3 linked regions of the Drosophila melanogaster genome follow. The protein of the gene in region 3 interacts with the protein of the main gene of each other region in a pairwise test. Each region holds a gene or a part of one and is shown on either strand. Other genes may lie near its edges. The genes, in order: e(r), CG6497 and Rcd4.

Evidence for each region.
Region 1: the proteins of Rcd4 (region 3) and e(r) interact in a two-hybrid assay, tested with the Drosophila melanogaster proteins (one large-scale study listed by BioGRID).
Region 2: the proteins of Rcd4 (region 3) and CG6497 interact in a two-hybrid assay, tested with the Drosophila melanogaster proteins (one large-scale study listed by BioGRID).

Annotation. Positions count from the first base shown.
Region 1 is NC_004354.4:8,903,568-8,907,997, reverse strand, and holds e(r) (enhancer of rudimentary), read left to right. Parts: upstream 1-1,749; 5' UTR 1,750-1,889; intron 1,890-2,007; exon of another isoform or gene 2,008-2,229; intron 2,230-2,409; exon of another isoform or gene 2,410-2,493; intron 2,494-2,613; 5' UTR 2,614-2,619; coding exon 2,620-2,934; 3' UTR 2,935-3,854; downstream 3,855-4,430.
Region 2 is NT_037436.4:17,251,753-17,255,679, reverse strand, and holds CG6497 (uncharacterized protein), read left to right. Parts: upstream 1-1,742; 5' UTR 1,743-1,856; coding exon 1,857-2,513; 3' UTR 2,514-3,303; downstream 3,304-3,927.
Region 3 is NT_033779.5:8,381,001-8,384,300, forward strand, and holds Rcd4 (reduction in Cnn dots 4), read left to right. Parts: upstream 1-1,860; 5' UTR 1,861-1,955; coding exon 1,956-2,270; intron 2,271-2,334; coding exon 2,335-2,619; 3' UTR 2,620-2,657; downstream 2,658-3,300. Other genes in the region: AlaRS (Alanyl-tRNA synthetase), read right to left, coding at 1-442; CG13392 (uncharacterized protein), read right to left, coding at 971-1,523, 1,589-1,707; Dad1 (defender against apoptotic cell death 1), read right to left, coding at 2,674-3,012. UniProt on the Drosophila melanogaster protein: Participates in the later stages of centriole assembly through the interaction with Ana3 leading to the centriole to centrosome conversion in somatic cells.

The sequences.
Region 1 (4,430 bases), on a different chromosome or scaffold from region 3:
TTAAATCAAATACACCGCAACAAATCTCGTGCAAACATCAGATAAGATATTGATACGATACGATAATTAGTATAATATTTAAACAATGCGCAGTCAGGAGAAATATAGAATGGCTTATCAATTTTAAAATAAAACTAACGGAAACAGTAATATTGTACATATTTCAGTTTCAACTCAAAGCATAAGTTTCTCTGTAGCCAAGACACCATTTGGTAAGTTAAGAAAACTATTAAGTGGACGTTTTTTTTTTTACCTTGATTTTGCCATTGGTCGCCGAGAACATTGAGATTTCGAGATTTCAGCGATAAGAGATGAGCAACAACACAAATCAAATAGAATGCACAAGAAACACAGATACAACACCCACACATGAATGATCGTGCAACGGTGTGCGCAGAACAGTGAAGAGGAAGCAGAGAGACGAAGCAGAGGCGACAAATTGGACACGCGTGCGTCGCGTTGGTTGGATTTTGTGTTTTCTTATTTGACTATTGCCTTTTCGGTGCTACTTTAACGGGTTTCCCCGTTTCACAGCCTTTATCATCTTATTTTCGCAGGGCTTTTTTGCTTTTCAATTTACTGCCTGGGTTTCATTTAACTTCGCTGCTCTTCTACTTCATTCATTATTTGATTTGTTTACGTTGCTATTTCCCAATTTGTTTGCTTCTTTTCACTTCATTTTCTTTCAATTAGGACGCACACAAACACACAGGAAAAAACAAAAAAAAAAAAAGAGAGACACGAACGCCACTTGCACAATTGAAAATAACAACAAATTAATGGGAACGCGCGAAACACGGGCTGCTGCGGCTGCGCCTTCACTTTTCACTAAAACAAAAAGCACGTAAATAATGTTGAGACGAGATTTTGCTTTTTGTTGTTGATTTCTTTGCCGATCGCTCTGCCGCCGCTCGACTGCGCTGCCCGCGACACCGCGCTCTTCCAATTGGTCCAATTGAGATCAAACAGCTGGTGGGCACTCGGATCTTCGATTGCCGCTGTCTGGCAGCACTGGGAACAGTGAGAACAGTGGCCAGACTGCGGAGCTGGCGATGGGCGATAGTTTTGTTTCATTAAAAGTAACTTTTGACTTTATATTAAATACAATACTAAAAAATGTAAAAATATGCTTTTTAATATGCACTTTAAGTGAAAATGATTGTACATTAAGTTTACTTCATAAAGACTTTAATGACCATAATTTGTTGATGGGCGTTAATTTTATTCTAACTTAAATAAACGTAATACCTAATATTTATATGTAATAACAAAATAAAATGAACCTAAATAAATAATGCAATCCACTTTAATTTGACATTATAATTATAATTTTTTTATAAATATATAAAATAAAAATAATAAATAAATAATTTCCGTAGTTATTGTAATGTATTACTATGATGAGTATATGTTAAAAGCTTTAGTTAATTTTATTTAAAAAATCTGAAGACTAAATATGGAATGAATTACGCCAAATGAAATGAAAATATGCATTGAAAAACATGCTTTATACCTAAAGGCGTAATATACATAAAGTGTGCTTTTCAATAAAAAAGTGAATGAACATAATATGGAATCAAATACATATACAAATTGAAATGCAAGTATACATTGATACAATTAAGTATAAAAAATCACAATTGTCATTTAATTTGGTAAATATTATTAAACAATGTATATCAAATAAAAGATGTTAGTATTAATCGATATCTTTCGATTATTTTGTCACGGCGAGGCACGCAGCGAAGCGCTCATCTCTAGCTTCAGCCTCCTCTTCAAAACCCATAGAACTGGCAAAATAAAAAAAAACGAATCAAGCGCTGATTTTACCGAATCTCTTTACTGAATCAGCATATTATCATAGTCCATATAGTCCGGCGTTCGAACGGGTAAGTTGAACACTAAACGGGAGACATGGGAATTATTTAAAATTCGAGAAAAATCGGTGAAAAGGAAGAAAAACAAGTGATTGCATACAGTTAGTTACACACACGCGGCGGCCGTTACTCCTTGTACATGTGTGTGCGTGTCTGTTCGCGCTTCCGAATGTTTGTGTTTTAGTGAAGCGGCATAAGCGTGCATTATCTTGTACAAATGTACGCATTTCTCCATTGCCAACATTCGCTTCACACACAAATTACTCGTTTTCCATGCTGGAAGTGCCATCTTAGTCTATTTCCCAGTTGCAAATTGGAAAATCAAAGAGCGTTCTGCTGGCCAGCATGTGTGGTGCGCGTGTATTGGTGTTGCGGCGAGAGCGCGAGCGAGATGGGGCGATGCGTTGCATGCGGCAACAGCATATCTCTTCCATCTCTTTCGTTTTTGTTCTTTTCCTTTTTTTTTTGTCTTTTTTTTTTTTGCTGACAGCTCTCTATGCTTCTAATAAATATTTATGCACAATTTTTGCAGAGCTGGCGAAGTAAACTTCAACTTCGAGAGTCTCGGAATCTTTCGGACTTTGCTATAGAAAAAACGCTTGTTAAAAAAAAGGATGTAAGTGATGAAGATGAAACGTAATGTAATGAAACGCACACTAGTAACATACATACATACATATCGCTTGAGTACATAGATCACCGCCAATAACATTAATGTTCCATTTTTGCCTTGCAGATCACCATGTCGCACACCATCCTATTGGTACAGCCGGGTGCTCGTCCGGAGACCCGCACTTACTGTGACTACGAGAGCGTCAACGAGTGCATGGAGGGCGTGTGCAAGATCTACGAGGAGCACCTGAAGCGCCGCAATCCAAACACTCCGACCATTACGTATGACATTAGCCAGCTATTCGATTTCATCGACACAATGGTGGACATTAGCTGCATGGTTTACCAGAAGAGCACCAATACCTATGCGCCCTACAATAAGGATTGGATCAAGGAGAAGATCTATGTGCTGCTCCGTCAGGCGGCATTTAGTTCCAATACCTAAAGGGACGGCGATGCGACAAGATACATACATATAAAACCAAATAACACGATGATGCATGCATCAATGCGTGCAACACTAACGACAACAACACGTTGATGTATGCAACAATGCGTGCAATAGCAACTACAACAACAACAACAATACGAGGATACATGCAACAGCGCTTGGAACAGCATCCGCAACGGCCACAACACCATAACACCAATAACACCAACAAGATGAGGAAGAAGAAGAAGATGATGATGGAGTGGTGGGGCATCGATTCCATTGGAGACTTGCTGCTACCGACTAGATCGCCAAATGACAGCAACTTTTTTTTGCAACATAACGCAATGCAAAAAAGGAAAAGGAACACAAAGAGAACGATAAACTGTATAACTTAGAAATGGAAAACTTACTTTAAACGTACTAATATATATATATATATATAAATATATATATAGGCGTATATATATATATATACTGTATATACACCCAACTGACAACTGTGTGTGTTTTTGTGTGTTTCAATGTTTTTTTGTGCGGCAGCCACAGGTGACGGTTGTTCTTATCGATAGCGAACTGTATGTTTGTTTGTTTGTAAAACCGAATGGCAAATTTGCAAGTGTGCATTTTTTTTTTGTATGTTTTGCCGTGTGTGCTAGCTTAAGTCTTTGCAATCTATCGAATAATAAACTAACACATCAGGACACACTGAGCATATATAAACATATTTGTAAACTACTGATTCCCCCCCCCCCCCTTTATCATTTGAACTTAGTTAAACAACAACTTTTAGCCCGCTGATTTTGCACACCGATGGGCTTTGTGGCGTTTTAACGGCTTGTTTTAAGCAAAACAGAACCTTTGGTCGCAGATGCGAAATGACCTTGAGATGCTGGTTGTTGTGTGTGTGGTGAGGGGGGAGGGGTAGGGGTTTGTGGGTTGTACCCCCGCCAGATATTCAATCGGATAACGAACTTGGACCGCCGCTGAATCGCTTGGCCGCACTGCATTGAACTTGGCGTGCGATATTTAATTAGCTCCGCGACAGCATTTTGTTAAATATATATATATATATATATATATATGTATATATGCACATTTAGTGTCGACTTGTGGATGCTGCTTACTAGCGTTAACTAGCAATAAACATAGTGTTTATAGTTTACCCATTATATTTGCTGAATATTAATGATCACTAGATTTCTCATTATTCAGACAAATATATTTGTTTGTGAAAAAAGCATTTGCTACAGCAAACTGTACAGTTTATTACAAAAATATGTATATATATTTTCAAAAAAAAAAAAAAAAGAATTTCTCCTATTTAAAGTAGTTTGCTTGCCACGCAACTCCGCGCTTTTTACAGGGTATGCAATAGCGCTACAGCTGCGTCGAATATGGTGCATAGTTTTTTTTTTTAGAATATTTTTCAAAACTGGTTTTAAACACTGCATTGTCGCCACACCGCCCCGCACCGCCCACTTTCAATGTCAGTTAGCCAGCCTCGCTTT
Region 2 (3,927 bases), on a different chromosome or scaffold from region 3:
GTGCCACTACTCACACAGCCGAAGACCACTGCCTGCACCACTACGAGTGCAGCGGCAACTGCAGATGCACTCGGAAAAATCGGATAGAGCTTCCGTTGATTGATGCGTATTGAAGCAAAGTAGAATGTTTTTTTCGGTCTTGAGACCCTAAGTTATGGTCTTGAAAGAGACAATTTCCAATCAGCTTGTATCTACCTAAGGCAACTATGAAGTAAATAAAAATATATTCTAAATATACCTCATTTCTTTTAATAAAAAAAAATTAACATAATTAATTAATTAACAAAAATTAATGAAATATATAATAACACAATTTATAAGGCACACCAAATTTAATGTTTTCTTTTCGTGCCTTTAATTTGAGTTTTACTTATGAAATGTAGTTGAAAGAGTGCATTATGTGCCTATAATTTGTATAAAAGGTGAAAGCTATGAAAATATCTCACTGTCAAATATTAATTGTTTTAATAAGAAAGCACTCGATTTTTGCAAGTGCGAACCTAGCAGAAGCAGCAACAACTACTTGGGTGCTGTCGGTGAGCCTGTTTTTTAGTGCCTTCCGTAACCATTAAATTTTACGTTTTTATTAGCGCGCACACACACACATACACAGACACAGACACACTTACGCGGAGGAAGGAGGAGGAAGAGGCCGAGAGTTGGCAGATAGGCCGTCCCCACCCACTGAACTCTACCGCCCACTACCGCCCACTCCGCCAACCATTTTTGAATATTTCCGTTTTGGCTGGCAGTTTTCGGTTTTCGGCTTGTCTACAAAATGCAGTTTTGCATGCACTTTGGCCTCGGCGCAAAAAGTCAACCGAAAAGAGACAATAATAAGTGCAGAGCACAAAAGGACGAACCCGAAAAAAGGGAAAGAGCAGCATAAAACGTCGAAAAAGTAGAGCCAAGAACATGAAAACGGAAAATTGCATTGCGCTCAGAAGTATGCTATGCTTTTTTCGCTTGCCTTATCAACGTCTCAAATCGGTTAGGGTTGATAGGAAAAGCGGAGGGGCGCAAGCGGGTTACTGGCAAAACTTAGTCCAGATAGCGAAATGTTGTCGCCCAACAGGACCTGGACGTATTTTACGTATTTTAGTTGCCTGCAGCACACGCAAAAAAAAATGAAGAATACAATGCAACCCAAAGACTTTAAGACAGTTCGAGTTGCAGTCGTGGGCGGTTCCATGCGAGTTGTGGCCACTGAAATTGGTTGCATGTTTCAGGGGAACAGACCTTTACCACATGAGTGCTGTTCAAAACTGCTCAAACCTTTACAGACAACACCAATAAAGCTCAATCCCTTCAGGCCAAACAAGTTCGACCCAGCCTCGTCGAGCTCGCAACTTGTTTGGCATCCACAACATTTGGTTGCAGGGTGAACGGGCTAAAAAAAAACTCTTATACTTTTGAGTAAAACTCAATTTCAATCCAATTCAATAGCTCATTCAAATCAGAGCAATTTAAAGACCATAATAATACTGCAGAATTAATAGTTTCATTTTTGAATAGAAATAAAGAGATAATCAGAGAACGAGAGATATAGAGATTATAAATGTTCATATGGCCAATTCAATGCGTGAGTTTGTTTTATATTTATTAAAAAAATTACAAAATATTAAGAACTTAACCTAATCAAGTATAATCACAGACAAATGCCACATAAGAGGCTTGTTAAAATCGTCTTTCATTTTGCATTACTCCGAACTAAGTAGACTAATTGTATGGATCAACCTTTCGGAACATAAGTACCAAAATTAACCGAAACGAAAATTCAAACCCAGTCGGACTCATCCCCTACCAGCCAGGAACCATACACCGAAAAAAGAAGGAACCAAAGGACACAGGACATAATGGAGCTGTGGCAGAAGCTACGAGTGCAGTTTAATGACTTCTTCCACGCGAACTACCCGTACATAGCGCTCTACAGCGGACTGGGCGTGGCAGTAACAGCCTACTTGCACTACCAATGGAGCGTGCACCACTACGACCTCATGTACTGGAAGCGTTTGGCGGAGGTCTTCTCGCAGGACATCGACTGCATCCAGCTGGCTATACTGCTCTTGATCTTCGCGATCAACGCCATTTTCGTATTCATCATCCTGAGCGTCTATCTGCGCCCAGCCCTCGACAATGGCAGTGAGATGTCCTTGCTGGAGATCAAGGATCGCTATGCCCGGTTCATACTGCTCCGCCTGATAGCCCGTCTCGATCGCATACAGTCGAAGATCTCAGCGAAGCGTAAGAGCCTCACCTTCCAGCACTATGTGAGGGCACACACGAACATGGTAAAGGCGGTGGCCGTGTTCCGCAAGGATGCACGCAAGCTAATCCTGCCGAATGAGAGCGAGATCCTGATGCCCATCGAGGACATCTACGGGGTGGCTGATGACGAAGAACGACTGCTTCGGCGATCGGGCTACTACAAGCTGATCATCGACACCACCGACGAGACGGTCAAGTCTCTGTTCAACGCCAAGCTGGAGGAGATCCTGTTCCCAACCAGCTAGACGACTCGGCGGTTCCGATTGAAACTTTGAGTAAACTGCAGTCCAACACTAATTGCCTTTATCTACTCTGCCAGAGCCGCAGCTCCGAGGGCCCCTTCTTAAAGCCGTTTTATTGTTTCAATTGTTTGGCTTGGCAGCTTTTTATGGCCGCATTGTGCGCCGGGCCAACAATAACAGGCCAGTCGGAGACTGTCAGCCGTCCCCAACCCCCAATAACAATAATGGCAAAAGAAACAGCAGCAGAAACAGCAGCAGAAACAGAAGCAGAAGCAGTTGCAGAACCAGACCAGAACTAGAAACAAAACTCCAACGAGGAACAGAGACTAAACTAAAATGCCAGCCCATGTCTGCACAGCTCAAAACAATATCTAATGTTGTCTACGGCAAAATATTTTGCAAAGCGTCTTTTTGTTTTGCCCGATTTCTGTGTCCTTCAGGCCTTTGTGTGTCGACTTTTCTTTAAAATTAGCTAAAAGGTTGTGTAAATTTAACTGAAAGTGGGATAGCAGTGAAAGAAAAGCGTTGCAGGGGATAAAGGATTCTTGGAATGCATCGTGGGTACGAAAAGCAACAAGGGCGACTAGGAAATATAAATAAATTTTCTTATGGGATGATATCTAACTAAATTACATTTTCGGATGGCATGAAGTGGACTAGAGTCCGCAGTCATTAGTGATTTAATCTAGAAAAAGAGGGGAAGAACCTTTTAGGAGGAGCGTCAAATTAGCATCAATAAAATTGGGCAATAATAAATTAAATTCATAAATTCAAACACTCAACAAAATTATATAATTGACTTTTTTGGTTTGTGGTCGTACGTGCGGGCATGACAACAATCTGAAATAAAGATGCATAAATTGTTAATCTGTTTAACAGTATCTTAAGTAGTTGTAGTTCTTGATCTAATAGTACCCGATATCTCGTCGTTCATACGGACAGTCAAACGGACAGTCAAGCGGACATTGTCAGTGATTCTGACTTTATAGTGTTACATACTTTACAACTAATCTACAAGATCTAAATGTTCGAATTTTTATGTCAGTTAAAAAAAGCGTCGAGACCTATTAATTTGTAAACGAAATTGTTAATTATCTTTTTGATTGTAATACGTTATTGTACAGATTGTTGTCGTGCCATTCAAGTCTCGCAGTTAACCATTTAAAATTCACATCCTTTCATTTGCTTCAACTCGATTTCCGCAGCTGCTGCTGTTGCTCACAAAATACAACTCATATCCTTGCCAATGACTTCAAAGCAGCGCATGCTTCGCTGCGCGCCAAAAAGTAGACAACAAAAGCCTTGATAATGAAAAGCGGAAAAAACACGCACTTTTAACTTCACTTTTGGCAGCTAATGCGCGAATGGCCAAAAAGTGACAGCCTAATTTCGGTTAATGTGGCGTGTCCTTTGCTTT
Region 3 (3,300 bases):
CGGGCTCCAGACCGCTGGCCGCGTCACCACCAAAGTAAGTCACATACAGACGATCCTTGGGTAGGGCGAGTCGCTGCGTGAGAAACTCCCAGGCCCAGGAGCAGATCTCCTTCTTAAAGTAGTCACCGAAGGACCAGTTTCCCAGCATTTCAAAGAAGGTGTGATGATAGACATCCTTGCCCACGTCGTCCAGATCGTTGTGCTTGCCACCGGCGCGAATGCACTTCTGCGTGTTGGCCACGCGCACCCACTTGGACATTTCGCTGTTGGGATCAGCGGTGCCCAGAAAAATGGGCTTGAACTGATTCATGCCGGCGTTGGCGAACAACAGCGTGGGATCGTCCAATGGAATCGTGCTGGACGAGTGAACATAGATGTGCTTCTGCTCCTTGAAGAAGTCCAGATAGGCGTTGCGCACCTCCTTTGCTGTGAGTAACTTCATATTGCTGGTTCTGCAAAGGACAAATCGTGAGTGTAAACGTTGCCACGCGACAATTGGGGCTCCCTAACCCCTTAAAACGGCCACAAATCGGAGCAGTGAAAGTGCACTTTGCACAGTACGTGACAAAGTTATACAATTTGGAAGCGAATTGAATCAAAAAACGTTTACTTGTTTATTTTTCGTATATGTAAATAGACCACACTGGTACCTAACCAAAACAAGTTATGTATTACTCACGTTTCAAACAGTAAATGCAAATGCAAACAATTTCGTCAGCCGACTGCAGCAACGTGTGAGATTGGCTCGATAGACAATGCGGCAAACTGGATGAGATATCGATAGATTTAGAGATGGCATAATGAAGAAAATAATTTTTTTATATTTAAAATTAAGTCCACTTGCTTAATTTACATTAATTGCACTCTAGAACCCTCCAGATATATGTAAAAAATCACAAATTTTAAAAAATGCATTTAGAATAAGCTCTTAAATGCGCCTCTATTTGAGCTAGTTAACAATGTGTAACAATTAAAAGTCCATTCGCTGTGGCAAGTGTTCCTCCTCCACCTGGTGCTCGATCTCCCTCATGCGTAACATAAGTTTAAAGTTCTGCTTGTCCTCCTGGCCAGTAAGGAACATGGTTAGCAGGGCCTGCAGGCCGATTAAGGTTCCTAAGGCTGGGACAATGGGGCGTGTAAATTTCCGCCACAACAGAAACACTTCTCTGGGATTTTCCGTAATCGAGGGAATACGGTACGTGTAGCAGCGGGTTGCGAACAGAAATGCGGCGAATGGGGCCAGAATTGTGGGATATACGATGCCCAGACTTGTCTGAAAGGCAGCACTGCGCATCTGGATGCACACCGGGCACTCGCCCAGCGGATTTAGTAGGATGGGCCGCTGAATAAAGAACTTGTGCGCCAGCATGGTAAATATGGCGGGAACGGCGACAATCGGGAGGTAAGTGGACAATCGACCATGTCCTCCAAGTCGCAGCTTGGTGCGATAATGATTATTTATGTAGGCGCCCGTTCCCGCAGCCAAAGCACTCAGAATTCCGGGCGTGTAGCGCAACGACCATCTACAAGGCAATATTTTGATCGCTTGTTAGGTAAGCGGCAACTTTAGAAGGCTTCATGCACTCACACTTCGCCTATTTTGTCCCAGGAAGTTATAATCTTCCATTGGTATTTGAGGGCCTGATCCTCTGTTATGACCACCGCGTCCCTGGGCAGTTCGTCGGGCTTGGCGCGTGATAATGCCATTTTTCATTAATTTATCAAAATATTTGGTTCTCAGAAAACAGCTGCTTATGGGTCAGTGTTGTATAAGTCCCGAACCGGTGTGAGAATGTTGAATACAGTGGGTATCGGAAAAAGGTCTCGGAAAGTAACGCGAAATTTACAGATGATGACATATCAGTGCTGTTAAATGGTCAAATCAGTGTTGCGTGCTGTTTTATATCAGAGGCGAATTGAAGTGTACTACCATAATTCTTGCGAGTCTGCTTAAAATGCCTCACAAACGTAGGAACCGAGTACATGCGAACCAAAGGAATTTCACAGCGCGACGCGTTTCTGTGGCCAAACTGTCGTCTGCACCGCCGAATGTGCTCGTCGAATCCTGCAACGGTTCTCATGCGGATAACAGTTCGCCGGACAGTCCGAAAGCCAAAGAAGGTGCAATGACCAACGGGAAAAACCCGGAGATCAAGTTAGCCGTGCCCAAATGCAACACCACCGTGCGCAAGCAGAACGAGGCCCATATCATATCCAACATTAAGCTGGATATGAACCTTAATAAGGATTCTAACTTTATCGCCCCACAGGTTAATTAAGGTTTTCAATTATGTATACTGTTTTATAATAACATATTCTGTAACTACCCCAAAGATCACCAAAAAGATGAACTTCGCTCCGAATCGTGTTGTATTCGGGGTCCTGGTGCCTCTCAATGTCAACGATTCTGTGCTGGTGCCGCACAATAGAAAACCGGATGCCTTAAAGCACACATCGAAAGAATCGGAATCATGCAAGGCCATAAGCGAGCCCCAGCTAGCCGACTATGCGGAGAAAGTAGATCCCATGATCATGGCTGTTAAGGAACCAGTACTCCACTTGGATTGGGAACCAGGACCCTTCGATTTTTTCGGCGCATATAGGAGAACATACAATTAGAGTTACATTTTATTTATAAATATATCCGAGAATATCAGAATGTTTGTAGCTTTGTTAACCGATGAAGTTCATGACCACCAGATGAAGGATCACATGAGCGAAGATGAAGTCGGCGAAACCGCGTTCCGGCGAAATGCCGGCAAACACGCTCTTGTTCTGGGGATTGGCCTGCAGGCGTAGGCACACTGCCAGGACGAAACAGCTGACGGTGCTGATGAAACCAGATAGGAAGGAGTTGAACGGGAAGGTTCCAACCAGGCAGCAGTAAACAAACTGGATGATGCCGGTGAGCAGAATGTAGCCGAGGTAGATGTCCACCAGCTTCAGTTTCTTGGGCGTATTCTGCACGTAGTCGTTGTAGAACTTGGAAATGACGCTCGACAGCTCCACCATTTTGCTATTTTATGTGATATTTGTCCGGATATTTAAGGATAAAGGCGCTTTTTAACAAATTAATCGCAGACACGTCACAAATTGGGAGAGAACTCAAAAGTAGGACCGTTCGTCTAGTTTGAAAATAATACTGATAGCTTTATCGATGAAGGCGCAAGTACAGTGGGCACTCAATACCTTGAAGTTTAATAAAGAATAGGTTTATATATTAAAAAATTTTTGTGTTTTAGTTAAAACTAAAACATAACAAATCTTATAGATTAATGACCGCTATCGATTCTTTTTTAA